4 linked regions of the Lonchura striata genome follow. The protein of the gene in region 4 interacts with the protein of the main gene of each other region in a pairwise test. Links are inferred from orthologs where the notes say so. Each region holds a gene or a part of one and is shown on either strand. Other genes may lie near its edges.

Region 1 (6,855 bases), on a different chromosome or scaffold from region 4:
GTTATGGTTAAGATAAAGGGTCTCATTGCTGAAAGACTGCTTCAAGTGTTTCACAGAAATATTTAAGTGGTTAGACTTACATCACCACACTAAGCCCTAAGAATTGATATTGACCCTATTCCTTTGACACACCTTACAGAGAACAGGGAGCACCTATGAAGATCGAGCACAGTTTTGACAAGTCTCCCAAGAAGTTTGCATTTGTTTCACTATACTCTTTTCAAGCATTTGAAAAGAAATATTACAACATGAATTTCGCCCTGTTAGCTTACTATTTTTTCTTACACATTTCACCTAAGTTGGCAGTATGCCTTAACATGCAGACCAACCAGCACTGAGGAGCCAAATTAGTTTCTTGTACTGCTGGTGGTCTGGAACTGCAAAAACAGTCAGCTCAGCACAGCATATCAATAATTATTACCATACATCAGATATCAAGTAGTGTGCTACATAAAGCTATATATATATGCATGTATATGTTTATTATTAAACCTTTTTAATTACATGTCATGGTACATGTGCACACAGTATTCAGGTGAGGAGGACCTTTTAATGTAATTTCAACATGACACTGAAAAGAAACTGTGGAATGAAGCCACTGTTATCAATCCTCTTCAGAGCTAGATTCATCTTCCTGGTCAGAGAGCTCAGCAACTGGAAAGCGCAGGATAGCTGCCACCCCTGTCAGCTGGCCCAGCTGCTCTCCAGACACATGGAGGCTGGAGAAAATGCGCACTGTGCCCATGTTCTCCCGTACGCTATCTACCAATTTAACATATCGGGAACGTGTAGCCACATCCTGGTGCCGAAAAAGCTCATCACTGATCAGCAGGGTATCAATGGCCATGGCTTCATTGGCCTTTTCCACATGTTTCAGGCCATAAAAAGCCCGGTCAGGCTCATGCTGCAGCATTTTATAGAAGTCATCTAAGGCTTTGACCTCACCAGCTGCCTTAGTGTCAGAAAGACGGCTAGTTACAGCTGGGTCGCAGAGTGCTTCTTTCAGTGCGTATTTATGTCCTGAGGAAGAGTGGACCTAGAGTGAAAACAAAGTCAAAAGTTTGGTGTTTTTGAAAAAAAAGGACCATTTTCTTTATTAACCAATCACAAACACCCTCCATGATATGTAATATTAATCTCGATAATTATCTGGGGAACTTGTGTCCTTCTTGACATACACATGATTCTTTTCTTAATCTCTCCTGCAACACAGAGCCTATACCAAATCCCTTAAACTGTCTTTGAAGCAGAAAAAGACAACTGCCTCTCTTATTCAAAGCCTGGATTAAATATACAAGCTCAACAGCTCCCAAGATACGGCTACTTGAAACTACCAAGAAACTCAAATCTAAGCCTACGCCTCTCTTTTAAAGCATTGAAGAAAAGGAAGGACCCTCAACACTGCAGGCATATAGTGTAAAAGCATCAACTCTGTGCAATTATTATGGTCACAAAGCTACTTCTCTCTATTATCACTTTGTTACACATGGAACAGGAGGGTTTTCTTGGTGCACTGGGTCTCCTAAGTACTGGGACTCACTTCACTATCCCTGCCCCCAGATCACCCCAGGCCTACTCCAATCTAAAAATAATACAAGAATCCTTATGAAAACGTATTTTAGGTCCTGAATATGACTATTTTAGTATAAAGCTAAACCCCCATGCACTCAATCAATGAGATGACTAAGAAACAAGGAAAAAAACAGAGCCTTTAAATATGTGGTACAAAACTAACAATGAAATTCTAGTTAAATTTGTTAATACAAAATTAATTAACCTATACTACATTCAGGTACTTTTAAAAAAACATCTTTGGAAAGTTGTTATTAAACATGGATGCTATACAGGTGACAACGTAACAGTGCAAAGTACTTTCCAACTTAAACTTCACACTTAATTGAAGAGCCAATATGCCTTTACAGGGAGTTTGAAATATCTAACACTTTCTCTATTCCAGATAAAGGTATCCTATGTGGGAACCATCCTTATACTACGCACAACTCATTTATAGTTTGGGAGACATAAGAATAATTTTCTCATGATGCTCAGTCAGAAATTTATTTTCTTTAGTGACTTATTTCCCATGTAACTACCTTTTACTATCATACGCAACTCTCAAGCCTCTTTTTACCTACTCTAGAAACTGCTTAGATCCTTACCTGTAAGAACTTGGACCTGTTCTCCAGCAGAAGTTTGTTGTCAGTCTTGACTGCCTGCTGGAACATGTAGTCACAAAACTGCTCCCGCACGAAGCCTGGGCTAGCCACCAGTACACACTTCACCACCTCAAAGTTGATATGCCTCTGGATGGCTTGCACCACCTGCTCGTAAAACCTCTCCAGAGCCCGGTCGTGCTGACTGCAGTTCCCTTTCCGCTTGCGGGGGATGTTCACCTCCACCTTGGCTCGAGTCAGCGTCATGCTCGGGGTGACCAGGCAGACGTGAGCCAGCCCCTCCTGCATGACCACGGCCGCCACATCGGCGCTCCAGGCCGGGTCGCAGGCCTGCTCGATGCGCTCCAGCACCACGCTGTCCCACTGCTTCTTGGCCAGGGTGAACTGACGGTTGGGCTCCAGCTCGATGGTGTGGTAGGCGCCCATCTTCACGTACTCGTTCTCCTGGATGTTCGTGCCCTTAACCCGCAGCTGGCAGGCCTGTGAGTCGAAGTCGATGGTCTCCACGCAGAGGGTGAGGGTGGTGCGGACGCGGTTGCTGCCCACGCTGCCCGTGGACGACTCGGTCTGAACCTTGCGGATGGTGGAGGCGCGCAGGCTGTCACCCACCTGTAGCAGGTTGTAGGTGTGCCACATGTCCTCAGGCTCCTCAGGGATCAGCGTCACCTGCCCCGCATTATCCTTCTCCAGGTCCTTCCTCACCAGCTTCATCCTGGCGGCTCCTCGCGTCGCTGCCCGTGTCGCGGCGGCAGCGGGCGGCAGGCGTGCCCCCGGCGGGCAGGCTGAGGGCCGGGCCCCGCGGGGCGCACGCTCCCGGACGGACCGACGGACACCCGCGCCGCCTTCCCGGCGCGCCCCAACCCCGCGCTCCCGAGCGCGCCCGCCGCCGGCACAAACGCGCACGCGCGGCGTCCCCGGCCGCCCCACGGCGCACGCGCACAGACGCCGCTCCCTCCTGAGGCGCCGCCGGGGCGCGCTCGGTCGCCGCAGGCGCGGCGCATGCGCGAGGCGCCGCGCGCGGTAGCCGGGCGGCGCGTCCCGAGGTGCGTCAGCGAAGGAAGAGTGCGGGGCGGCGTGAGGGCGGGGCGCGGGGAGGGGCGCGCTGCTGCTGCCGGGCGCTGCCCGCGCTGCTGCTGCCGGGCGCTGCCCCGTGGGAAGGGTCGCCCCCCCGTTCGTCATTCCCCTCCAGCGCTGCACAGCGGCCGTCCAAACTCCTGGAGTCTCCTAACGCCGTGCCACACGTTTCAAAACACGAGAGGCGAAAACCAAACCAAAACCAAACGGCCAAAGCCAAGCAGTTGTTGGAAACTTAGAGGCGCAGCTGGCAAAAGAGGCAAGAGGTGCCGTGGTTCGGCGAGGCCAAGGAGCCAGGGGACGGCAGTGCCACCCCCAGCGCCGCCTGACTGAGGCGGAGCGAGGCGGCCGTCACCCATGGAAACGAAAACCAGGCAACATCAGAACATGACCTGTTACTTGGCTGCTGCTCTTAAACTGAATTCCGGTTTAAAAGGTTTTGGTTAAATTTGCAAGTTACATTTCAGCCCGTGCTGAACCTTGACCAGCTTCCTTCCAGTTCTGACATGCTAGGGAGGCAGGATGAGCACGTTTCAAACGAAGCTGGATGTTCACATAGAGAAATAAGATGCCTTGATAAAAGACATATAAAGAAAATGGACCTGAACCATCATTACACAGCTGAATTTTCAGCCTAAATGAATTTAGCAATCCAGAAATAATGAAAAGTTCTATCACTATACAAGAAGGGAGGAATACTGGAGAAGAAGAGAAAGCTGAGACCACATAGCAACCTTCCAGTATCTTACAGGGAAGAGGGAAGCTGGAGAGGGATTCTTCATCAGGAACTGCAGTGACAGGACAATAAGTAATAGGTACAAACTGAAAGAGGGGAAATTTAAGTTACATAACAGGAAGAAATGTTTCTTTGAGGGTGGTTACACACTGGAATAGTGCCTAAACCCTGGTTGCCCAGGAAGGCTGTGGTTTCCCCAACCCTGGTACTCATTGGACAAGGAATTGAGAAGGCTGGGAATTGTTGAGTGGGAATTGTCCCTGCGCATAGCAGGGTGGGTTGGGACTAGATGATCTATAATGTTCATTCCAATCCCTTAAAATATATAATTCTGTAATTCTGATTTCTGTAGCTAATTTTTGAAACAGTGTACAACACTAAAAACTCCATTTAAGAATGAATGTTACGAATATAGATCATGGGAAAGAATGAAGAATAGAAAAAAAAATGCTTGCATGAGAAATTATTAAATAAAAATAGGTTGAAAAGTTCAGCACACTAATATGCCATGCTAAGTGTGTCAGGGCAGTTGCAGCAGATAAGTTTGGAATGATTACACACTCGGTCTACTATAGAAAAGCATCTTCTGATGGCATCTTCTTACAGATGAGAAGGTGGTCACAAGGAAGTTTCTGGTTTCTATTAGCTATTTAAGAAAAAAAAAAACCAACTCACTATGATTATGGAATTTGCTGACTTGGGAAGGCTTTGGAGTCAAGAATTTGATGAGATACAAGGCTACTGTGAGCAAAAATAATCCCATATCTTCCATTATGGTGAACCTATAAATTTCTCAGAAGTATCTAGCTTTAGTCAGTTGTGACAGGACAGTGAACTCAGATTTGGCTCAGAAATGTGCGTTCCTTTTCCCTAAGCTTGATACTGGTGTAAAAACAACTTTATCAGATATTACATAATAGGATTTATTTATCAGACCTCAGACTCTCTTCCTGTGAGTACACATGCTTAACTCTGTTAGCATGAATTGTTTCACAGAATCAAGCAGGACCACCCAAGGGAATATAACATAAGCACATGTGTAAGTAACTGTTTAACTTGTTTGTATTAATAATTTTGCACTAGTGTGCATTCAACTTTACTTTCAGAGTTCCTTTCACTTATCTATATAAATGCTGAATGTGATTTTATGGCAGATTTTCTTCTTTACATTCTTTGCAACTATAAAATTTCAAAGGTTGACCTCACGCTATTCTTTCAAGAAAAAGTAGTTGTGGTGCATATTTAACTTCCACATTAAAATGTATTTTACTTTTTATTATTTTACAGCTGTGTATTTACAGACTTTTCTGTGCTTATTCATTCCAGTCAAATTTTTACAACCATCCCTGGAGATGCAATATATTCTAGATAAAGGTTGCAAGTTGGCATCCAGTATTATCCAGTAAAAAATAAACATTTCATTCAGGAAAATAAGTGACTTGCTGCATTAAAAAACCCCACAATAACACACATGTGTGCATACACACACCCCGCCTCACACACCCCAAAAGCAAGAATTCAGGAAGAACAAAACCACAACCAAAGAAGAAAGGCCAACTTTGAAACAAAGTTGCCACTCAAAAGTTTCAATTACCTGTTGTAGAAAGAAACATTTTGATATGGGCCTTTTCTCAAACAGCAAGTTGTAAGATTTATAGAGTTGTGAACAGTGATCCACAAATATTTAGTGGCAAATGTAAACTTCAATGGATTTACCCACTATCAGCAGGACTATTGTCAACTTAGAAAGGAAAATATTTACTAGAGATGATGATGCTTTGCCTACTCTGGTAAAAAAAGTAAATATAGGATATTATTATTTGTTTGAGTATGTCAAAGTATGAGCAGTAGAAGAAAAATATCTCAAAAAATTAAGAATCACAGAAGTTTCTAAGTTTATTCTAATTGTGCTAATGACAGGAAGAGAGATGAATTTGACCATGGTAGAGCCAAAACAAGTGGGTACTTCCAAATCCTCATAGTTTTAACATGAAAGTTCAAAATGGCATAGGTTGTTCCTGTCTTGGTATAAGATTGAGACTATGTATAGGACCTAAGAGTTCTTGCAATAAATCACTTTGTAAATACACTTCTATAGGTATTAATAATTGCAGCAATTTGACATCCATTTTTGGACCTTCTTAAGTACAATGCAAGATAAAATGAAAATGGTGGTATCATATATTCTTAGGGATTTTAGAGCCATGCTGGTTATCTAAAGCTATTATTCTGAAAATGTTTTAGACACGCTTCCCTATGTCTTCAACTCTTGGTCAACTACTTTATGAAGATGGGTTACATACAGATTTTAGACAAGGAGGGGTCATTTTCCTAGGAAATCTCATCTTCTCCATATTATAGACACTTTAGCTAGAATTCATGCAAACATGCTTACATTCTGGATAAGAAAAACTAATGGAAAAGAATTTCTGATGTAGGGGGAAGTCTGCTAAGAAATGTTGGGCATTATTATTTCAAGAGCAGAGGAATATAAAAGAGACAGATGGAGAGGGGAAACTTGGGAAAACATCTGTTTTCATGCTTTGCCTTTGTCCTATGGCTGTCCTGCTTGTACAGACTCTGAACAAAGATCACTTCATTTTCTGCATACAGTTCTGTCTTTTTCTATTTATCTTTTCTGTTATAAAGATGAGTACAGCAAGACCATCATCAATAAAGAAGTCCAGGAGGGAACAGGCTTTGCATAACACTGTTAAGTGAGGGAGCTTTTAAAGGTAATGGAACCCTTGAAACTGACTTCTTCATTCTTTAGTTGTTGAAATGTAGGGCTGGAGAAAACTTCAGCAGATCCCTAGTCAAACCAATTGCATAGAGACCAGCTGAAGTAAACTCAGCCATCCCTTATGCTGT
Region 2 (7,993 bases), on a different chromosome or scaffold from region 4:
TCTGTTTGCTGTGATTTATGAATGGTTTCGCTGTTGATTATCCTCCAAGATTACAGCACAGCAGCCCTGACAGACAAGCAGAGGAAATTTCACAGGATAGCAGGCAGCTCCTTCTCTGGGGCAGTAAGGCAGGGAGGTGTGTTTTGATTCAGGTATGTAACAATATCTGACTGGACACCACAGGCAATTGAATACTCATCATGTGGCACCCTACTCAAAGGCAAGCAGGGTCAGTAGAAGTCTTGATAATTTTTCTGCACTCCAGAGCCTTTGCTCATTCTGTAATACAGTGTTCAGCTGGGGTTTTTTGTCTGGATTGTGGCACAAATGTACAAACTGCAGTCAAATATGAAAAGGCAACATTCTCATTCAACCCTGTGCAGTTCTTCAAAGATAATCCTTCTTTCTGAAGTCACAAAGTCTACTGCCCTGTCTGGGAGATGGACCGTCTTTTTTCAAGTCCAGGCTATTCAAAGGAAATTTGCTTCCTTTGATTTATTGCCAAGAACAGGCACTCCTGACCCCAGAAAAGGAGAATCTTGTGCTTTTCATTCCCATTTCCTGCCAGACAGTTTGTTCCAAGTCACTGCTAGGAGGGCTGTTTGTCTGGTGAGGGTAGCAGGGCCAGAGCAGGTGCAGTCATCACTTGAGGGGGCTGTGGCCTTCACTGGAGCAGACAGCCAAGACTTGGGAGTTGGGGTTGAAAAAAATTTCTGATGTAGGGGCTGCCTAAAAATAGGTAGACCTATCAGGAGGTGATTTTATCTCTTGATAAACAGCCTCTGCTTTTCAGGCAGAAAGGTTCCTTTGATTTGAACTCTGCCATGCTGCAAAATTAGTCATTATTGGCATGTGGTTTCCAGGTCCAGTCCTATGGCTGTGCTTCCGGCTCTTTGTGTCACATCTGGACCTGTGCAGTGAGCAGTGGTTTGCCGCCCTCATGCTTGGAATCATTTTGGGCTGAGGTGAACAACTTGCAGTGTGCCAGGCAAGGGTGGTCTGGGTCTGACAGACCTGAGTCCTGCTCTGTGGTCTTATTGCCTTCAGTGATGCTGCTACTTTGGTCCCTTTCAACACTGTTGTCAGGAACCCATGACAACAACCATGGCGGAGAGGGAAGGCTGCTCTTCTTTGGAGGGAACCAGAGAGCACAGTTACATCCTACTGTGCCCTGAGCCATTCTTACTGGGGCTGGAGTTACACTGTGGGTGTTCTCAAGGATTGGGTTCAACAGTGAACCAGAATGGACATTCCTAGCATTCTTCCTGTTTTGCCACCCAGCCTGCTTCAGAAAAAGTCCTGATGTAGGTGTTCGTATCCTGTCTCTTTCCTCCCTCACTGTATTTGTCTTTCAAGCCTGGCAGCAGTGGAAGGAAACTTAGCACGTGATGCTGACTCTCTGCCATGTCTGTGGGACGGCAGATTCCTAAAGTACTCAAATCTAGCTAAGAGAACAGCTAGGAAAACAGACGGCAGAGGATTCATAAAAGCATGGAGAGACTTGAATCCCAGTGGATTCGAGAAAGGATGATAGCTTTTATCCAGGAGCAGGGCTGCTCATATCAGGAGGGCTGTCTGGGTTCCTGCCTCCACTGTCCACACAGTACCTCTCTTATGACCTCCCATCTGTTTCAGGATTGAGCCTGGGATTTTGTGTTTTATAACAAATAGATCAATGAAAAATACAGTTGGAGAAGCTCTGAGAAATGTGTGTTTCAAAAAGCCCTCTAATTGCTGTTGTCAGGATTGCACCACTGCCTGAGAGTAAATCTTAACAGATACAGTCCTTCTGGACTTAGTTTTCTGCTACTTGACTTCCTGCTCCTTATTTGCTGTTGTTTCGCACTCAAATTCACAGCTAGGCAGGGTTTTTCCTTTGGAGACAGTGGAGGCCACTCTCCCCCAGGCTGTGCCTTCACACTGCTGCCCTTGTGCCACTGTGCTTGCACCTGTTTGTCTCTACTCAGCTGCTTCAGAAAACTCCTCTCCAGACTTTTCCTTCCTCCTTGTCCCACCATGCACACAAGGGCCCAGTTTCCCTTTTCCCAAGCCAAGACACAGGAATGTACCAGTCGCTAGTGATTCCTTCCAGCAAATGAAGAAGTGCTGAACTAAAGAGGGTTTCAGTGAAGCAACATGGCCTCAGCTGAAAAATTTGTTGTTTTTCTCCTTTTCTCCTTTGACAGGGCACTGTGCAATATTTAAATCCCGTTTCACCAGGCATAATTCTACCACACCATATATACACCTGTGTCTGCACACTGAATCCTTCACTAAGTTTCCATTCAGGCTGATTTTCATTGGCCAAGAGCAAGATACTGTGACTCCAGGAGGACTCTGACCAAAGTCTGAGTCACTTCTATCACAACCACCAGGACAGGAGCATTTCTTACCACCTGCCTGCACTGTGCTTTACAGAAGAGAGCTTCAACTTGGGTGTGCAACCCACTACTAACTTGAAACAGGTTACTAATCATAAGCATAACAACAATAATACCACCACAGCACACACATGTACTGCAGAACAACAACCACAATAACAATATAAACATAAGGTGTGTGCACACATGCCTTGCAGAACCAGCAGCAGTTTTGCCATTCATAAATGAAATCAACATCCCTACCAGTGCTGGGGGATGCTCAGCAGTGCTTTTTTCTTCAGCTGTTTGGAGCTCAGCAACTCCTAAACCATAACAACCACTGCTGAGCTGAACACATGTTGTAGTGAAATCTACCTTTAGAAATATACATTATTTGGGTCCAGGAAAGATTGGATTGTAGTTTTCTCAAACAAGAAACAGAAAAGTCAGTCTCCTCTCGACTGCTCCCCAAGTTAAAACAGGGTTTTCTAGGATGAAAGGACAATGCACTCACCCCTGCCCAGTGTCTCTGTCCTAGTCCTTTTTTCTCCGAGGAGGAAAGCAGCTCTGAAGACACTTCTTCCCCTTGCACACATGGTCTTGAGCCAGTTCAGGAGAGGGGCAGGGGAACTGGGCTGCAGGGGAACTGCTGGGCTGAATTCCTGACTTCACAGTATTAACTGGCCAGAGAATCCTATTACATGATAGGTAGCAAGCCAGGGACTAATTTATGGAAATTTTGACCTTCAGTCCCCTTTGACATTTTCAGATCAGCCATAGCCTGTGTGAGACATGAGAGCCCTTACAGTAAGGGGCTCTAAATCCGCCTGTGCAGCTGCTGGAGCTGACGGGCGGGTCAGAGGTAAGAATTCACTGAGGTTCGTGTGTGGGCTGCTCGGTGCCTGTTTGACATTTACAAATCAGTGACATTCCTCTGCACAGCTCAATGCATACAAATCGCTTCAGTCACTCTGTGGAGGGCCCCTCATTTCACTCAAAGGTGGATTTGGGCATCCATAGCCTTCCCTTTCAACTTCAGTAAGAAGACATAATGAGATTTGCTCCCTCAGGAGGATGCAGTGGGGGCACTTTTAAGTTCAACCCAACCACCAAGGACTTTGCACCATCTTCGTGGTTTGGGTGTGAAGCCTTTATCACTAGGTACAGTATCAGACCCCTCACATTTTCATTCATTGCCACAAGCATTGTGTTTGTCCATTTTGTAGTACAGACAGTCTCATTTCACTCAGTGCTGGGCCAATAACTCGGACCAAGAGAAGGCCAGCTGGATTTCAACAGCTTCCCATGGAAACCTATTTGCCATGAATAAAGCTCCACTGAGCTGAGCCATATGAGTGGGCTTGCCCCAGATTTCTCACAGTCTAGACTCTATGTAGAGAGAAAACATGATGAGAAAAACACAGTGTAACATTAGCCTCAACCAGTTATTGTGCAACAAATGACCATATTGGCTTCAGCCAGACTGACCTGTTTAACCACTGCTTCTTCTCTGAACCCTGAGGGTTAATTTGGACACATCATTCCCCTCCATGCTGGCAGTACCTCTGGCACATGATGCTCCTCCTGGCTAGAGGCTGTGCTGTGATTTGGGATGCTCTTCCATGGTGTTTACATTGGCCTTGCCGCACAATGGCTGGGACTGGGAGGCCGATTCCTTGGTTGTGGAAGCTGTGGAGTCAAAGAAACAGGCATGAGGGAGCAGGAGGTGTGAGGGCTGCCATGAGGGAATATGGTGGGTTTGTGCACCTTGGTAGCCAAGACCGCCACGGTGACCTGCTGTCTTGGTGAAGCTGCCCTTTGCCACCTCAGAGTGAAGAGGGACGATGGTTCTCAAGAGCTAAGTCTCTTCCCTCATGCCCACGAGCCACGACAGTGAGGGGAAAGGCTACTCTGGGTGTGTGGGGGTGAAAAAAGGATGGTGAAAATGAGAACTGAGGGGGAAATCGGCTCTGAGTGCGGGAAAACTTGGGACAGCACTGAGGGAATGAGTGGAGGTAAGCTGTGCCCCTGTGACGGCGTGATGTATGTGGCGAGGCCCCTTTCCCAGCCTTGGAGAGTGCAGAGATCGAAGAGGGACAAAAAGGAGGGGAAAATGGAACATAACTGAGGGAAAACTGAGGAATGAGCAGAGGGCAGCCACAGCTCACGGGGAGGTGTTCTGGGGACACCCCGCTCGCGCCGGCCGTGCGCGGGGGCGGCCCCGTCCCCTCAGGAGGGAGAGGGCAGGCGGGCGGCGCCGAACGCGCTCCGAGCCTGGGAAGCGCCCGAGAACGCGCGGCCGGGACAGAGCTGGGGGGCCGGGGGAAGGGGAGGGCGCTCCCCGGCTCCCTCCCACCCTCTCCGGATAAATGAGCCGCCGGGAGGCGGCGGGCGGCGCAGGCTGTGGGCGAGCGCGGCGCATCCCCGTCCCGTCCCCGTCCCGTCCCCGCCGCGCCCAGCGCTCCCTGCCGGCGGGGCCGGCCCGGGCGCTGCCGCGCGTACCCCGCGGGGCTGGGCGGGGGGACCGGGCGCCGCTTCCCTCCCCTGGGAACGCCTGAGGGCGGGGGCGGCCGGGCGGGCAGGGCCGGCGGAGGGGAGGCGGCCGGGACACCCCGGTCTGGCTGATGCTGGCAGCAGCGCCGGGCTCCGGCAGGCTGGTAGCGGCGGTCAGGACTCAGGAGGGGCCCCCCGGGCTCCCTTCCCCTTCCCTCCCTCCGCGGCGGGCGGCGCTGGAGGATTTTCTCCCGCCGCGGCCCCCTCGCTGTCCCCCAGACATGGTAGGTCACCTCCAGCTGCAAGGGATGGACGAGAGCCTGAAGGAGAAGAGCCGGGAAGGCTTGCTGGACAGTCCGGACTCGGGGCTGCCCCCCAGCCCCAGCCCCCCCTTCTACTCCCTGTCGCCCGGTGAGGGCCGGGCAGGGGGCAGCGGCGGTGCGGAGCCCCCGGGCCACCGGCGAGAGGCCAAGGACGGCAAAGTGGTAAGAGCCAAACCCGGGCACCGGGCTCTGTCCCCTCCGGGGGGGAAAGGCTGGCCGAGCTCCGGAGCGGGGCAGGCAGGAGGGCGCCTCTGGCCACTGCTCACCCTGGTCTGAGTGCCCCTCGCCGGCCGAGGGCACTCCGGGCTGCCCGTGGCGGCTGCGGTCCCGCGGTGGCAGCGCCGCTGCTGTGCCAGGCTGGGTTTTTGGATACACTCGCAGAGTGTTGGCAGTTTGGCTGGGTGAACTCTAATAACGGTGTGGGAGTGAAAACCAAAGTCTGAACCAAGCTCCCCTACCCACCTTCGGAAGAGAAAAGCGTAACTGTTTCTCAGTGACACTGCTCTGCCTGGTAGGTGCAGGTTGGAGCTGCATCCATCCGGACCGAGGCAGGGGCGTCTGGCTTCCAGTCATCATTACGCCCTGGCATCCCACATCTGCTTTGTGAGGAGCGTGGAGCCGCGTTTGCTGGAGCAAAGAAAGACAAAAGTGCCCTTTAGCTGGGGCAGGGTAGGGATGTGTGTCCGGGGAGTAGCTGCGGGACAGGGTCCGGGAAGGGCTGTGTGCTGCTGCCCTTTGCTGGAGCGGGGCTTTGTGGCATGAGCCCGCATGAAAGGTTTGTCCGCTGGCAGCCGAGCGGAGCCGGGGTAGCGGTTTGTAAGCTCAGACAGCTGGCAGAGCACTGCAGGTCTCGGTCAGCCTGATGCAGTGCCAGTGAAGCACTTGAATGTGGAGTAGGATCGGGGTAGATTTATTATGACTATTATTTTGCTTTATTTATTTCTATCCCTGAGCTATAAAACCCATTTTTAAAACACAGCGTTCAGAGCATAAGCAATGGTGGTGGGGGTTTTTAAAGGATGATGAAAGTTCTTCCCCAGGGCTCTTTAAATTTTTTTTTAAACATGTATAAAAGATGTTTGTAGGTGTATTCAGCGTGGTTAATTGGCTTTAAACAGCAGCACAAATCTTTCCATGAGAAAAATTTATCTCCTTCTGCTCTAGTGACAATTCAGACTTCTTTCCCATAGAGACATTTTGCAATGACTCCTCACACCCTTGTGCACTTTCTCAAGTTCTAAGGCCTTTTGAGAATATTACTGAAAACTGCCTTTTTCTCCTGAACATGCCAAAACCTTCCCCATGAACAATGACTCCTCACAGTGGAGAGGGTGTGAAGGCTTATTATGAAAGTCAAATCTCAAACCAGCTAACACGGCAGTTCCTAATATGGAGCCTTACCTGCAAGATGCCTGGGCGTGTGTGCCATCTCGATGGGAGTGTTTATGTACAAAGTTACCCACACGGCTCTGATTTGGCAAGATCAGGCTGTTCCCGTGTGTCTGTAAAATAAAATTGGGCAGGAAGGTGAGTGAAGGCTGCTGGAGCGAAAAACAGCAGGGGTGGAGGTGTCTGCAAAACTCTGTAATGGGGATATGACAGTCTCCATTCCAGTCATATGACAGTTGGCCATCGCACCATCCAAGAAAGTCCTTAGACATCAAAGAAGAAAGAACATGAAAAAATTTATTTCAGTTCATGGGCTGTTAGTCTTGAGAGTTTTAGTGCTTGACTCCTACAGGGAGAAAAGTTATTCCTGTGATCTGAATAAGGTAAAGTTAAGTTTTTCAATTGTTTTCATCATTAGTGAACATTTTAGACACTTCAAAAAAGCTCACACTGTTTCTACATTCTGTATCACATTGCAAGGGCTCCTGCTTAGAGTATGGGTTCTACACATTGGGAATGTATGGAATTCCATGCTCTTAGCAGGTACAGAAGGTTGCAGGGATCCAAATGCTGAAACCAGTCAGAATGTATTATTCGGAGCGATGCTGGGCTCTGTTCTTTAACTCTGCTTGGTTCACTGCAAAATAATGAAGTAAATAGGAATTTTCACTCCATTGGACTACAGAGAGTTTAACTTCCTTTCATTTCCACTGTGCAAATACTGTACTTGCAGCTGATATTAATGCAGGAAAAATATGAAGAGTATTGCTTGCTTCATACTTTGAAATTGCAGTGTCTAATTAGCTTTAATTTTGCCATTTTACAAGGGCTTGCTGATCTGTGAGCAGTTATGCAACCCATGAATGTGCTTCTGTTTAAGTCTATTCCTCTGCTGTTCATCAGAGCATGCAGAATTGGCAAATCAATAATTGCAGCTATTTGCACACCAAGAAATGCTGTTTTTAATCGCCTGTTATATTAGTGTTTGTTTTGCTTATAAACGTGACAGAGCCAGGAACAAAACCTGCACTCTTTGTGTTGGAATACTATAAAACCATACATAACTCAGTCACCAACAGCCAAGGTTCTAGTATGTACAATTACAATAAATTGCTGTCAGGTGAAGGAAACAACATTCCAGGTCTGTGTGAAGTATTTCATACTATTATTTGTTGCAGAACTATCAAACCACTGGTCTGAATCCAGTTGCATTCTTCTGCAGTCAGCTATTTTGCTCCAACTTTGCAAATATGTTACACAATTTTTCTCCTTTAGGATGGCACTTCTCATGCAGAGTAAAAGGAGATTGCATGCCTTATCGAAGATTTTCTTGTGTGCAAAATCTGTGTTCTCACTGCTCTGTGTTATTAACTGTGACTCTGAAAAAGTAAACTCTCTGCTCTTTAATAAGCACAACTTTGTTTCAAA
Region 3 (7,841 bases), on a different chromosome or scaffold from region 4:
AAATACCAGTGCACAGCCAAGATCCAGGGGTGATAAAACTGCTCTGCAATTTTCACTACAAGGAACAAGCCTGCAGGTAAAACTGATGGTGTTTCACTTTTCCCACACTGCTTAGCACAGGGGCAAAGGAAAGTGCTCTAAGAAACCTGGGGTTCATCAGGTGGTCAGTGGCTTCTTCTCATGCTGTAAAACAGGAAGGAACATAAAATGGGAAGAAATTAATACTAAGCTAGACTGAGAACTTATTTTAAAATGTTAAAAGTCAGAAGTGAGAGAAGGAAGGAAACTTGAGACACAGAGAGGCAAAGGCAGTTCTTTATGACAACAGTATCTGCTGACAGTCTCAGTGCTGTACTGGCTATGCACAGATGTGACACCAGGAATACTGTGGCATAACCCCAGGATAAAATGCCAGGGATGCCATGACATAAACCCAAAATCAATTCTGAACAAAGCCTCATGCAGCCCAGCCTGGCACATCAGAGCAGCCAAGCAGTCCCCAGACCTGCAGGAGGCAAGCAATGGAGAGCTGAGAAAGCCCTGGCAGGGCCTGTCAATCCATGACACCACACAGACTCTGAGCTCCCTGGAGTCCAGTCTGGCCAAACCCTGCACCCACAAGTGCCTGGAGAGTGTCCAAGCAGTCCCATCACAGGCCCCGACACACTTGTTGCTGACACACACAGGAAACATGTCCACTCTGAGGCTTACCAAGCTGCCCCTTCCTGGCCCCTAGTTGTGTACCCCTTGGCAGGTTGGTCACTTTAGGGTTTCCATAACAAAGACACAAGTTTGGAAGAAACACAAACCAAGCAAAAGAAAAGAAACCCTTAAAGCAGAGGCATTGTGGGAGCACGAGAGAACAAGCAATTTTGCCTACTGAGCACAGCTACTTTCCCAGGAAGAATTTAATTTCCTAGGAAGATTCTCAAGTCTGAATGAAGGTCACTATGATGTTACAGCTAACACGAGTGTAACGAAGCAAGGAGAGACATCTCAGCTCAGACCCAAAGCACACCAACCCCCAGCCTTTGTTAGCAGCCACAAAGAACCTTCTGGAGCACACGGAGTGATGGGATCTCTGCACACGAAGTCCAGAAGTCAAAAGCACTGACAGGAACATGGAGGCAAACCTAGAGAAGCAGAGATACTCTGCTGTACTGCTGAGCACCTAGAGCTACTGGAGAACAGAGAACTTCAGCCACTAGGGATTGAATGTGCTTTGTGTGTTTTCATCATCTAATTACATTTCCTTTATGCAGAGAAAGAGCACAAACCTGATGAATTTACAAATTTCATGAAGATATGGACAAAAAAAGGTATTGGTCTGAGGTCAGGCTACACATGCATCATTTTGGTTTCTTTAGACAGGACTTCAAACACCTGCTGTCCTGACAGCACTGAGATAAGTGGGCACACAGAGAGCTCTGCCACAGCCTTTGTGCCTGGGTGAAACAAAGAGAAAAATAATTCTCTGCTGCAATGATTCTTCAGCTAGCAGGGAGGGCTTTAGGACCTGTGAGCTACTTAACAATGTTTCTCCCTGCTCACGGGGAAGGTAGTAGGATAAGGAAAGCATCTTCCATAACAGAAAGCTGGTAATATTGACTACAACTTATAAAGACAAAGCCAGGCAAAGCATCTGACATTTAACAGAGTGCCAGCTGCAGCTGAAGCAGTGCCTGTCAGTGACTCAGGGAAACTGCACACAGGTAGTGCAAGTTTCACAGGAAGGGCTGAGAGCCAGGGTGCTCACAGGTGAGATGTGCTGGGTGCAGCACCTGGGGCTCAGAGCCACCCCCATGGCAGGAGAGCAGCACAGCCCAGCTCTCCGCCAGTGCCAAGGGCAGCCCAGAGCATGCATCAAACACCCTCCCTTGCACTGAAAGGGTTGCCCAGAATCCCCAGCACGGCTCCCACAGCTCTGTGCCAGGCCAGGAAAGATGCCCGCAACCACGGAAACCACAAAGCACCACTAGAAAAATAAGTAAATGTATCACAACTCTCTGGCTTGGCAGCTCAGCCTGGCAGCTCGCTGGGCACAGGGTGGTCGCTGCAGACGGTGAATCAAGGCCAGAGTTCCTGCCACAACCTCTTAACTCCCCACCAGGTCACAATAAACGGCTCTGGGGCCACCATAAGAAGACACAGAATCACCTCGAAAGGCTCCAGGACCACCAAGACAGAACCCAGAGGGCTACAGGGCCAGCATGGAGAGATTCACAGTGACCAAGGACCACCATGGAGTAATCCAGGGCCACCATAGGGATTCCTGAAGCACCCACAGCCACCATGAAAGGATCAAGAACTACAACGGGGGCATCCTGAGCAACCACCGGGAGTATCCAGTGGACTCCAGCATCCAGGATCACCACAAGGGGATCCTGGGCCCCCACGGGGGGATGCTGGCCCAGCTGCTGAGCAGCTCAACAGAGAACAGCCCAAGGACTGGGCGGCCCTGCCTCCTCCACCCACGGAGCACCCAGGGCCGGCGGCAGCACCGACCTCGCTGGTGAACATGGCGCAGAAGTAGTCGCTGCAGGCGGCCAGGACGATGCGGTGGGCCGGGAAGTCCTTGTGCTCCACGCGGAGGGTGACGTCGCAGAGCGTGTTGCTCTTACGCAGGGCGTTCATGGCGTTGAGGATGGACTTGGCGTGGGAGTTGGTCATGATGTCCTTGGGGGGGGCCATGGCGCGCGGCACCTGCGGGCACAGCCAGCACGGCCACATGGCACGGCGCCCGCCGCCGCCAGGGGGCGCTGCGCCGCGCCGCCCTCAGCGCCCGCCCCGCCCGGCGCCCCCGCCCACCGCGACCCCGCGGCGCGGCCGCCCCGGCGACACCCGCCCCGCCCGGCCCGGCCCGGCCCGGCTCGGCCCAGCTCGGCTCGGCTCGGCCCGGCCCCGCCCCGCCCGGCCCGGCCGCACTCACCGCCGCGGGGAGAGGTCCTGGCCCGCACACCTCGCCTCCCCCCGCCCTTCCCTCTCCCCTTGCCGCGCGCTCTGATTGCGTCATCGCGCCGCGCGCGGAGCGCCCCGCCCCTGGGTGCCGGGCGGTTGCCGAGCAACGAGCCCGGGGCGGGCCCCGCAGCACCCCCCAGCGGCCCCCGCGGGACCTGCAGCGCGGAGAGCCTGAGGGGCCGGGCTGGAGAATCCCTGAGGGAGCTGGGAAGGGGCCGGAGAATCCCTGAGGGAGCTGGGAAGGGGCTGGAGAGTTCCTGAGGGAGCTGGGACAGGACTGGGCTGGAGAATCCCTGAGGGAGCTGGGACAGGGCTGGAGAGTTCCTGAGGGAGCTGGGACAGGACTGGAGAATCCCTGAGGGAGCTGGGAAGGGGCTGGAGAATCCCTGAGGGAGCTGGGACAGGGCTGGAGAGTTCCTGAGGGAGCTGGGAAGGGGCTGGAGAATCCCTGAGGGAGCTGGGACCGGGCTGGAGAATCCCTGAGGGAGCTGGGGCCGGGTTAGAGAATCCCTGAGGGAGCCTGGACAGGGCTGGAGAATCCCTGAGGAAGCTGGGACAGGGCTGGAGAATCCCTGAGGGAGCTGGGGCCGGGCTGGAGAATCCCTGAGGGAGCCTGGACAGGGCTGGAGAATCCCTGAGGGAGCTGGGACGGGGCCGGAGAATCCCTGAGGGAGCTGGGAAGGGGCTGGAGAATCCCTGAGGGAGCTGGGAAGGGGCTCAGCCTGGAGAAAAGGAGGCTCAGGGGGACCCTGTGGCTCTGCACAGCTCCTGACAGGAGGGGACAGCCGGGGGGTTGGGCTGTGCAACAGGGAACAGAGACAGGAGGAGAGGGAACGGCCTCAGGCTGGGCCAGAGGAGGTTCAGGTTGGATACTGGGGAAAAGTTCTTCCCTGAAGGGCTGATCAGGCCCTGGCACAGGCTGCCCAGGACAGTCGGCATGGAATGGTGGAATCACCACGCCTGAAAGTGTTTAAAATATGTGTGGATGTGGCCCCTGGGGACATGGTTTTACGGTGAATATGGCAATTCTGGGGAGTGGTTGGACTATGTGATCTTAGAGGGCTTTTTCGACCTTAATGATCCTGTGATTCCATGGTTCTCGGTTCGCTGCCGCAGGGCTCTGGAGGCAGAGCCCTCACAGAGCTCTGGGCATGGTGTGAGCTGCTCCTTCCCCTGGTGCTGCTCCTGCCGGGTGAACCCCTGGAACTGGCTCTGCCAGGGCTGCGGGAGCCAAGCTGTGAGCCAGGCACCAGGAGCCTGCTTTAGAATCCAGGATTTTAAAATTCATACTATTTTTGAGCTCTTCCCACACATGCAACTCAACATCTCCAGCAGATCGCCTCCAGCTGACAGCCCTGAGCCGCCTCCGCTCCCCTCCTGCCCTCGAGCTTGCTTCCAAGCCTGCTTGGGGATGAATTTTAAAACCTGAATCCATACAGTCAGGTGCAGAGTCATTGTCAACAACCTGAGATAAATTCCCAGCTAAATGTAGAACAGAGTATGACTTAAGAAACCTGTACATCAAGGTTGAGATATTATCCTGGACTGCAGGCTGATCATTAATTCAAAAGCTTCCTCCTCCAAGAACCAGGGTCACTCTGTTTGAAGGCTGTACATGGAGTGAGAGTTTGGAGGATTTGTTTGACCTCAGACATGCTAAAGAAGCAAATGATTGGCAAGACCCAGCAGGTGGAGATGAGAATCCAGTGTTTGGCAAGGAGGGCAGTTTACCACTACCTTCAGAGCTGGCAGATGCTCTACCAGGGGGGATTTTTGAGTCAGCAGCACTTCATTCTCTAGATACAACTCAAGCAGAAATTGTGCTGGAGGCAGGTACCAGTATGTGTGTGAGACTGCATCATCATCTGCTCCTCTGGGAGCTCTAAGCCAGGAGGGATGTGTGACCAGAGTGTGAGAGCAGACTCATGCATGGGAGATACAGCCTGGAAGAACAGAGGAAAGAGGCAGCACTTGCCTGCTTAGTGCTCTCTGTGCACCTCATTTCCCAGCTGTCAGCCTCTGTGTCCACCTGGTGCTGATTGTCCAAGGCTACAGATGAAATCCCAGATAGTATCAAATGGGAACAATCAGTGGCTCCCCCACCATTTGTAGGGGTGCAGCCTCACCTCAAGTCTGGGGGACAGTTTTGGGCACCACAATATAAGAAGGATCTGAAGTTATTGGAGTGTCCAAAAGAGGGACACAGAAATAGGGAGGGGTCTGGAGGGGCCACACGAGGAGCGGCTGAGGGCACTTGGTCTGTTCACCCTGGAGCCTGAGGTCAGACCCCACTGGGGCTGCAGCTCCTCAGGAGGGGCAGCTCCGATCTCTGCTCCCTGTGACAGGGACAGGACCCCAGGGAACAGCTGGAGCTGGGCCAGGGAGGGTTAGATGGAGATCAGGGAAAGGTCCTGCCCCCAGAGGTGCTGGCACTGCCCAGGCTGCCCAGGGAATGGGCACCGAGGCTGCCAGAGCTGCAGGAGGGTTTGGACAGCGCTGCCAGGGGTGCCCAGCGTGGGATTGTTGGGTGTCTGTGCAGGGCCAGGTGTTGGACTCCATGATTCTTGTGGGTCCTTTCCAGATCAGGTGTTCTATCTATAACTTGATTATTTTTTTCAAGAAAATAAAACTGAGGAAAATTAAGGCAGCCACTGTAAAAATTGCGTATTGAAATTAAACTTTATATCTCAAAGGATGAAAAGCACACCATAATTTACTGTATGTTTGTTAATTAGGTACAAAATCTTATTTGAATGGTGACATATATTGCATTGCTCTCTATATTAATGTTCTGCATATATTATTTATCCTTTTAAATACATATTTTTAATATAGGAAAAAAGAACTAAATAGAGAAATTATCATATTTGTGCAAGCAAGAGCAAGGTGCATCGTAGGGCTCAGAAATAATGTACAAATAAATTCACTGCAGCAATATTCTTTCAGAATAAGCAAGTAAGTAGAGCAGGGGCTTTGAAAAGGAACATGTAATCCCATTTGTGGGAATGCATTTCAACCCCACAGTGGTGATGCTGTCTAGAACACTCTATACAAACACACCATGCTCCAAAGGCATTTCCATGTACCTGGACAAGGCCCTGAGCAGCCTGATGGGATGTTGGTGTTGGCTCTGCTCTGAGTGGGGTGGGACCAGCTCTCTAGGCCTCTGATTTAAGTTGCACTTTGGGTCTGGGTTAATGTCCACAGCCAAGTTCCTTGGCTTGATTGATAGGACCTGTCTGGTCCTTGGAGTGTCCTCTGGGATTGCATAGAAAGGTCCCAGCTGGTGTGGTGCAAGGGAGAAACTTGGGAGAACTTCATCTGTAGCTTCCTTTGGGGTTTTTCCCTCAGACTGGCTTGGACTTAGACACCTCCTGCCACTGGAACAGGGCCAGCCTAGTGAGTGGAGGAGCCACCTGTGCTGTGCCTATTTGAAGAGGCAGTTGGGATGTGGAGGAATGGCTTTTGAAGTCTGTGTTCCATGACTTTTGGGGTGGATGGTACTGAATCTCACCTGCAGCAGAGCTGGTCAGGCCAGCTCTTGTGCCCCAGGACTTCCTGCAGAGTGCTCTGACCCAAACATGGCACTCCCTGGTGACTCAGGTGTTCTGCCAGCCCTGTGCTGGGACATCAGGGACACAGTTCCCAGCATTTGTGGGAACAGTCTTGGCTCTCCAAGGCTGCAGTGTGTCCTGGCTCAGTGTCTCCTCCACAAGCCAGGCTGGGGAACCTGCTGTCACACTGCCAAGCAAACCTGGTTTTCTGCAAATGTGAGTTTGTGCCTGCAGGTCCTGTAGGTTAAGAATACTTAGATGTGATCCCCAGGAAGCACAGCTGCTCTGGCTGTGCCCCAGCCCTCCTTCTCTCAGATGTACTCACTCTTTCTCTTAGAAAGACAAGTCAGACTCTTTTACTTGGGAACAGCAGTGCAGAGCCCAGATGCCCAGTTTCAGGTGTTTTGCATTTGCTGTTTGTGTGGATCATGGTTGGAATCCCTCTCACTCCTCCCTTGCTCCCTTGTCTGCAGCTCACAGGGATAACAGTGCTTGGAGCTGTCATTGCCCAGCAGAGTAACCTGGGGAGGGTTGTTCTCCCACAGCTGTGCACTTGGGAAGGTGGTATGGTTTGGTATGGCTTGGACGAGTGTGAGTCTGCCACAGGGAGGAACAAGGATTTCAGGGAACAGATAGATGGATTTTGGAAGAGCTGAGGTTGCATCCAAGCCACCTTCAGGACCTCACGGAGCCCATGTGACTCGCACTGCACTGTGGTGTTCAAGGAGTGGAAGTGTGCAAGAACTCTGGAGACACAGATCAGATGTGCCCATGAGATAGCAAGGAGAGCTTTGGCGTGAGTACAGGCAGGACCATTACAAACAATTCTCATTGATTAAAAAAAAAAAATATTTGAAATACTTTAGTTATAAAAAGTTTTTTGGAGGCTCATGTACTTCTAGACACAAGACTGATGTCTTTTATTGTTCATTCAGAGAGAAAATGTTTTCTGTTGAAGTTTCTGTTATTAGAAGTTTCCTTTTTCTCTGAGAGTTTTATCCCACGAGAGTTTTTATCCTCCGAGAGTTTTGTCCCATTCTCAGTTCTTTCAGGGCATGCAGAATTGTGGTGCTGTGGGAGAAGAATGGTTCCGGGAAGGCAGAGGAAGAAATGTTGGAATTGGGTTGACTTTAAGTCTCTTATGTCAAAACTAACAAAAGCTACCACCAGATTTGGGAATATATTCTTGAGAACATTCATCCTCTGGAAGATAATCCTCCACCGACCAGAGGCACTCAAAGGCTACTGCCAAGTAACTTCTGGTTTCAGCTCCTGCATGGAGCTGTTCATCTGAGGAGCCTGAGTCTGTTCTCAATTCCTGTGCTGCTC
Region 4 (6,978 bases):
ATCCCCCCCAAATCCGCCCCTCCCCTTTTATGGGCTCCCCAAACCCCCCGGGTGCCCCCCAGCCCCTCCCCAACCCCCCCCCGCAGTCCCCAGAGCCCCCCATGGGGGACCCCCCGACCCCTCCCCACCCCAAGAGCCCCCCCAAACCCGCCCCTCCCCCTTGATGGGCTCCCCAAATCCCCCCTCCCCCCTTTTAGGGGTCCCCGGGCCCCCCCCAGCCCCTCCCCGGCCCCCCCGGCCCCCCCCGGGGCGGGGCTCGCTCCTCTCGTTACCAATTAAGGCTCCGCGCGCGCCGCGCGAGCCCCCGGTACCGGCACCGCCACCGCGCGGGGCCACCGAGCCCTCCCCGGGACCGCCGAACCATCCCCGGGACCACCGAGCCATCCCCGGGACCACCGAGCCCTTCCCGGGACCGCCGAGCCCTTCCCCGGGACCACCGAACCATCCCCGGGACCACCGAGCCCTTCCCCGGGACCACCGAGCCCTTCCCGGGACCACCGAGCCCTTCCCGGGACCGCCGAACCATCCCCGGGACCACCGAGCCCTCCCCGGGACCACCGAACCATCCCCGGGACCGCCGAACCCTCCCCGGGACCGCCGAGCCATCCCCGGGACCACCGAGCCCTTCCCGGGACCACCGAGCCCTTCCCGGGACCACCGAGCCCTCCCCGGGACCACCGAGCCCTTCCCGGGACCACCGAGCCCTTCCCGGGACCGCCGAGCCCTCCCCGGGACCGCCGAACCATCCCCGGGACCACCGATCCCTTCCCAGGACCACCGAACCATCCCCGGGACCGCCGAACCATCCCCGGGACCACCGAGCCCTTCCCGGGACCGCCAATCCCTTCCCGGGACCTCCGAACCCTTCCCCGGGACCACCGATCCCTTCCCGGGACCTCCGATCCCTTCCCCGGGACCGACACCGGCACCGCTCGGATCCGCCCCGGGACCGCCGGGTCCCGAGCCCCGAGGACCACCGAGACCGAGCAGCAGGTGAGGAGCCCCCGGGACCCCCGAGCCCCCCTCAAGCCCCGGGGACCACCGGGGCCGCCGGAGCAGCGGGACCGGCACCCCTGGGTGGCGCCGACCCCCCCGGTCCCGACCCCTGACCCCCGGGACCCCCGGGACCCCCGGGAACCGAGCCCAGAGCCCCGAGTAGCCCCGGGACCCCCGCCAGGATCGCGGGGTTTGGGGGGGCTTTGGGTGGGCGGGGGGCGCGAGGGGGACCCCGAGTTTGGGGCTCCCCCGATTGGGGCTGGGGGACCCCCCAAGGTGTGACCCCGATTTTGGGGTCCGAGACCCCCTTGAGAGCCCCCTGGGGGCGCGTTTTGAGGGAACCCCTAAAATGGAGCTGGGGACCCCCAAATGGGGCTGGGGGAACGCCATAACGGGGGACCCCGATTTTGGGGGACCCCCTTGAGAGACCCCTGGGGGTGCTTTGGGGGCTGGGGACCCCCTAATGGGCTTGGGGTACCCCTCTGAATGGGACCCCCCCCCCCCTTTTTTGGGGGGGTCTGAGGAGCCCAGAGTGGCTGGGCCCCCCTTTTTGGGGTGGGGGTCCCCACTTGGGGCCACCTTTGGGGTCCGGGGGACCCCGGGAATGGGAAGGGGGCAACAGGGTGGGGACCCTCCCCTGACCCCCCCAATCTGGGGCCAATGGGGCAGAGCCGGGGGTCACCCCAAATTGGGGCACCCCTAAATGTTGGGGGAGTTTGGGGAGGGTCTCTCATTGTGGGGGTCCCATCATTATTGGGGTCCCCCATTATTAGGGTTTCTTCTTGTGGGCATCCCCCATTTATTGGGGGTACCTCATTATTGGGGTCCCTCCTTTTGGGGGTGCCCAGGTGAAGATGCTCATGGGGTCCCCCACTCTGGGATTCCCCCATTATGGGGATCCCCCATTATTGGGGTCCGTCATTACAGGGATCCCCCATTATGGGGGTACCCCATTATTGGGGTCCCCTGATTGTGGGGTCCCTTACTCCAGGGATTTCCCCATTGTGGGATCCCTTCATTTTGGGGGTCCCTCACTATGGGATCCCCTCCTTGTGGGGTTCCCTCGGTAATGGGATCCCTCATTTTGAGGGTCCCCCATTATTGGGATCCCCCGTTTTGGGCTCCCCCATTATCAGGATCCCTCGTTATTGGGGTTCCCCATTGTAGGATCCCCCATTCCGGATCTGCCCGGCTGCCACATCCCCCATTATTAGGATCCCCCCATTATTAGGATCCCCCCATTATTAGGAACCCCCTTTTTGGGATCGCCCGGTTTGGGCTCCCCCATTATCGCAATCCCCCATTATAAGGACCCCCCATTCTGGGCACCCTAATTTGGGCTCTCCCCCATTATTAGGGCCCCTCATTATGGGGTCCCTCATTATTGGGGTCACCCGTTATTAGGGTCTCCCGTTTTGGGGTCCCCCATTACGCACTGCCCCATTATTGCGATCCCCCATTATTAGCACCCCTCATTATTAGCATCCCCCTTTATTAGGATCCCTCCTTTTGGGATCCCCCCTTATCGGGATCCCCCATTTTGGGGATCTCCCATTATCAGGATTCTCGTTATTAGCATCCCCCATTTTGGGGATCCCCGTTATCCGGATTCCCATTAGTAACATCCTCCATTTTGGGGATCCCCGTTATCCGGATCCCCGTTATCAAGATTCCCGTTATCAGCCTCCCCCATTTTGGGGATCCCCGTTATCAGGATCCCCGTTATCAGGATTACCACTAGTAGCATCCCCCATTTTGGCGATCCCCGATCAGGATTCCCGTTATTCGCATTCCCCATTTTGGGGATCCCCGTTATCAGGGTCCCCGTTATCAGGATTCCCGTTATTCGCATCCCCCATTTGGGGATCCCTGTTATCAGGATTCCCGTTATCTGGATCCCCGTTGTCAGCACCCCCATTTTTGGGGATCCCCGTTATCAGCACCCCCATTTTGGGGATTCCCGTTATCAGGATCCCCGTTATGTGGATCCCCGTTATCAGCACCCCCATTTTTGGGGATCCCCGTTATCAGCACCCCCATTTTGAGGATCCCCGTTATCCGGACCCCCGTTACCAGCACCCCCGTTACCAGCACCCCCATTTTGGGGATCCCCGTTATCCGGATCCCCGTTATCAGAACCCCCGTTACCAGCACCCCCATTTGGGCATCCCCGTTATCCGGATCCCCGTTATCCGGATCCCCGTTATCAGGATCCCCGTTATCAGCACCCCCATTTGGGGATCCCCGCTCTCCGGACCCCCGTTACCAGCACCCCCGTTATCCGGATCCCCGTTATCAGCACCCCCATTATCCGGATCCCCGTTATCAGCATCCCCATTATCCGTATCCCTGCTCTCCGGATCCCCGTTATCCGTATCCCCGTTGTCCGGATCCCCGTTACCAGCACCCCCGTTATCAGCACCCCCATTTGGGGATCCCCGCTCTCCGGATCCCCGTTATCCAGATCCCCGTTATCCGGATCCCCGTTACCAGCACCCCCATTTGAGGATCCCCGCTCTCCGGATCCCCGTTACCAGCACCCCCGTTACCAACACCCCCGTTACCAACACCCCCGTTACCAGCACCCCCGTTATCAGCACCCCCATTTTGAGGATCCCCGTTATCAGCATCCCCGTTATCCGTATCCCCGCTCTCCGGATCCCCGTTATCCGTATTCCCGTTACCAGCACCCCCATTTTGAGTATCCCCGTTACCAGCACCCCCGTTACCAGCACCCCCGTTACCAGCACCCCCGTTACCAGCATCCCCGTTATCCGGATCCCCGTTATCCGTATCCCCGTTACCAGCACCCCCATTTTGAGTATCCCCGTTTCCAGCACCCCCGTTACCCGCACCCCCTTTGGTCCCCCCCGTCCCCGCGCTGCCCCCTTACCCCGCTCTCCAGCTCCGGTTTCTCACCGCCCCTCCCCTCCCTCCCTCCCTCCGTCCCTCCCCGCAGCCGCCCCGGGCCGGCCCCGCGATGAGCGCGCCGGGCGGGCGGGGCCGCGCGGAGCCGGGAGCGGAGCCCGAGATGCCGGCCACCGAGAAGGACCTGGCGGAGGACGCGCCCTGGAAGCGCATCCAGCAGAACACCTTCACCCGCTGGTGCAACGAGCACCTCAAATGCGTCCAGAAGCGCGTGGGCAACCTGCAGACCGACCTGGGCGACGGGCTGCGCCTCATCGCGCTGCTCGAGGTGCTCAGCCAGAAGCAGATGGGCCGCAAGTACAACGCGCGCCCCACCTTCCGCCAGATGCAGCTGGAGAACGTCTCGGTGGCCCTGGAGTTCCTGGAGAGGGAGAACATCAAGCTGGTGTCCATCGGTGAGAACCTCCGGGGCGGCGAGCGGGGCTGGCCGGGCGGCGAGCGGGGCGGCCCCGGGGGCGAGCGGGGCTGCGGAGGAGTTGGGGTTTTGGGGGGGGGGATGAGATTCCAGTGGTTAGTTTGGTGAGGAAAGGGTGGAAATGGGTCGGGAAAGGGTCAGAAATTGGGGAGGGGGCGTGAGAACAACCCCCAACTGCCCCCGGAAAGTTTTGGGGGTTGGGGAGGGGGTGGGGGCTGCGGAGGAGTTGGGAATTTGGGGGTGGGGATGAGATTCCAGTGGTTAGTTTGGTGAGGAAAGGGTGGAAATGGGTCAGAAATTGGGGAGGGGGCGTGAGAGCAACCCCCAACCCCCCCCCCTCCCCCCCCGGAAAGTTTTGGGGGTTGGGGAGGGGGTGTGGGAGTTAGTGAAGAGCTGGAATTTTGGGGGGGGGGTGAGATTCCAGTGGTTAATTTGGTGAGGAAAGGCTGGAAATGGGTCGGGAAAGGGTCAGAAATTGGGGAGGGGGCGTGAGAGCAACCCCCGGAAAGTTTTGGGGGTTGGGGAGGGGGTGTGGGAGTTAGTGAAGAGCTGGAATTTTGGGAGGGGGGGTGAGATTCCAGTGGTTAGTTTGGTGAGGAAAGGGTGGAAATGGGTCAGAAATTGGGGAGGGGGCGTGAGAGCAACCCCCAACCCCCCCCGGAAAGTTTTGGGGGTTGGGGAGGGGGTGTGGGATTTAGTGAGGAGCTGGAATTTTGGGGGGGGAAATGAGATTCCAGTGGCTAATTTGGTGAGGAAAGGGTGGAAATGGGTCGAGAAAAGGTCAGAAATTGGGGAGGGGGCGTGAGAGCAACCCCCAACCCCCCCCGGAAAGTTTTGAAAGTTTTGGGGGGGTGTGGGAGTTAGGGACGAGTTGGGATTTTTGGGGGGAAAATGAGATTGGAGTGGATTATTTGGTGAGGAAAAGGTGGAAAAGGGTCAGAAATTGAGGAGGGGGCGTGCGACCACCCCCCCCCCCTCCCGGAAATTTTTGGGGGTGGGGGGGTGTGGGAGTTAGTGAGGAGTCGGAATTTTGGAGTTTTGGATGAAAAAAGGAGGTTGAAATGGTGAGGAAAGGCTGGAAACGTCTCAGAAGAGGGTCAGAAATTGGGGAGGGGGCGTGCGACCACCCCCCAAAAAAGTTCAGGCCGTGGGGAGGAAGCGGGAGTTGGATTTTTTTGGGGAGAAAAAAAGGCAGAAATTAGATTTTTAGGGTTTTTTTGATAAAATGGTGGTGGATTCGCCCTAAAAGGGTCTCGGAAATTGGGGAGGGGGCGTGCGACCACCCCCCAAAAAGAGCGTGGAGCTCGGGGTGGGGCCATGGGGGGAGTGGCAGTTACGGAGCGTTGAAATTTTTTTGGGGAAAAAAAAGGAAATCTGAGCGATTTGTGGTGGTGGGGAGGGGGCAAAAATACCCCCGGAAGGATGTCAGGAATTGGGGGAGGGGTCGTGCGACCACCCCCCAAAAAACCTCCGAGGGGGTTCGGGGCGGGATGGGGGGAAACGGGAATTGTGGAGAAAATCGGATTTTGGGGGGAAAAAGGGAGATGGGAGCGGTTTGTGTTGCTGAAAAAGTGGAGAATTCTCCCCAAAACGGGCTCGGGAATTTGGGGAGGGGGCTCCTGGAGGAGCCGCGGGGGCTCTGAAATTTGGGGAGGGGTCCGCTGGGGGACCCCCCGGCCGGCGGAGGAAGGGGAGGGGTCCCTGCGAGAGGAGGAGCGGGGCGGGGCCGGGTGGGGAAAAAGCGGCGAATTCTCCCCAAAATGGGGCCGGGAATTTGGGGAGGGGGCTCCTGGAGGACCCCCAGAAATGGGGGGGGGGGCAACTGGGAGACCCCCAGAGCCCAAAATGGGGAGGGGTCTCTGCGGAAGGGAAGCTCGGACTGGTTTTAATGGTGAGGAGGGGGCGGGACCCCGACCCCAAAAGGCCCCGGAAATTGGGGAGGGGTCGTGGACGAGCCCAGAAATTGGGGGGGGGTCCCGCTCCCAAAAATGGGGAGGGGTCTCCAAGAGGGGGAGCATCCAACTGGTCCCAATTGGGGAGACCCCTCCCCAAAAAACACCCCGAAATTGGGGGGGGGGGTCCTGGAGAGGGCAAACCCCCTTCGATAATTTGGGGGGGGGTCTCAGGGGGCGCAGAGACCCCTCCCCAAATAACCCCAGAGTGATGGGGAGGGTCCTGAGACCCCTCCCCTTTATGAGACCCCCCCCGGGAATATTTTGGGGACCCCCCCCCACATTTAGGGCGGGGCTTTGGAGGCTCCTCCCCCCCCAAATCCCACCCTGGGGGGGGGGCTCCGTTTGAGACCCCCCCCCAAATTTGGGACACGCCCCTAAATTAGACCCCCCCCCAATTTGCGACCCCCCCCCCCCCACATTTGGGACCCCAAAATTAAAGGGGGAAGGTCCTGGAGACCCCTCCCCTCTTAGGGGGGCTCCCCCTTTTACAGGGCCCTGTTTGGGACCCCCTCCCCAATTTAGGGTCCCCCCTCCCCAATTTTGGACCCCCCCCCCAATTTAGGCTCCCCCCTCCCCCAATTTGGGGCGACCCCAAAATTAAGGGGGGGTGGGGGATGGGGGGGTCCGGCCCCTCCTCCCAGCGCAGGAATTTGGGGAGGGGGCGCCGCTCGCGGGGCTCGGGGG

Evidence for each region.
Region 1: the proteins of FLNA (region 4) and PELO interact in binary tests that used the Homo sapiens proteins (3 or more experiments, as listed by UniProt). The link is inferred for Lonchura striata from reciprocal best matches to the Homo sapiens genes FLNA and PELO.
Region 2: the proteins of FLNA (region 4) and RFLNA interact in a two-hybrid assay, tested with the Homo sapiens proteins (2 studies listed by BioGRID). The two-hybrid records come from large-scale screens. The link is inferred for Lonchura striata from reciprocal best matches to the Homo sapiens genes FLNA and RFLNA.
Region 3: the proteins of FLNA (region 4) and KLHL12 interact in binary tests that used the Homo sapiens proteins (3 or more experiments, as listed by UniProt). The two-hybrid records come from large-scale screens. The link is inferred for Lonchura striata from reciprocal best matches to the Homo sapiens genes FLNA and KLHL12.

The regions. Positions count from the first base shown.
Region 1 is NC_134642.1:33,089,544-33,096,398, forward strand, and holds the start of PELO (protein pelota homolog), read right to left. Parts: upstream 3,003-6,855; 5' UTR 2,886-3,002; coding exon 2,160-2,885; intron 1,037-2,159; coding exon 605-1,036; 3' UTR 1-604. UniProt on the Homo sapiens protein: Component of the Pelota-HBS1L complex, a complex that recognizes stalled ribosomes and triggers the No-Go Decay (NGD) pathway.
Region 2 is NC_134620.1:13,310,964-13,318,956, forward strand, and holds the start of RFLNA (refilin-A), read left to right. Parts: upstream 1-4,976; 5' UTR 4,977-4,984; coding exon 4,985-5,338; intron 5,339-7,993. UniProt on the Homo sapiens protein: Involved in the regulation of the perinuclear actin network and nuclear shape through interaction with filamins. Plays an essential role in actin cytoskeleton formation in developing cartilaginous cells.
Region 3 is NC_134632.1:520,402-528,242, forward strand, and holds the start of KLHL12 (kelch-like protein 12), read right to left. Parts: upstream 3,014-7,841; coding exon 2,930-3,013; intron 2,704-2,929; coding exon 2,506-2,703; intron 1-2,505. UniProt on the Homo sapiens protein: Substrate-specific adapter of a BCR (BTB-CUL3-RBX1) E3 ubiquitin ligase complex that acts as a negative regulator of Wnt signaling pathway and ER-Golgi transport.
Region 4 is NC_134638.1:1,280,092-1,287,069, reverse strand, and holds the start of FLNA (filamin-A), read left to right. Parts: upstream 1-3,976; coding exon 3,977-4,319; intron 4,320-6,978. UniProt on the Homo sapiens protein: Promotes orthogonal branching of actin filaments and links actin filaments to membrane glycoproteins. Anchors various transmembrane proteins to the actin cytoskeleton and serves as a scaffold for a wide range of cytoplasmic signaling proteins.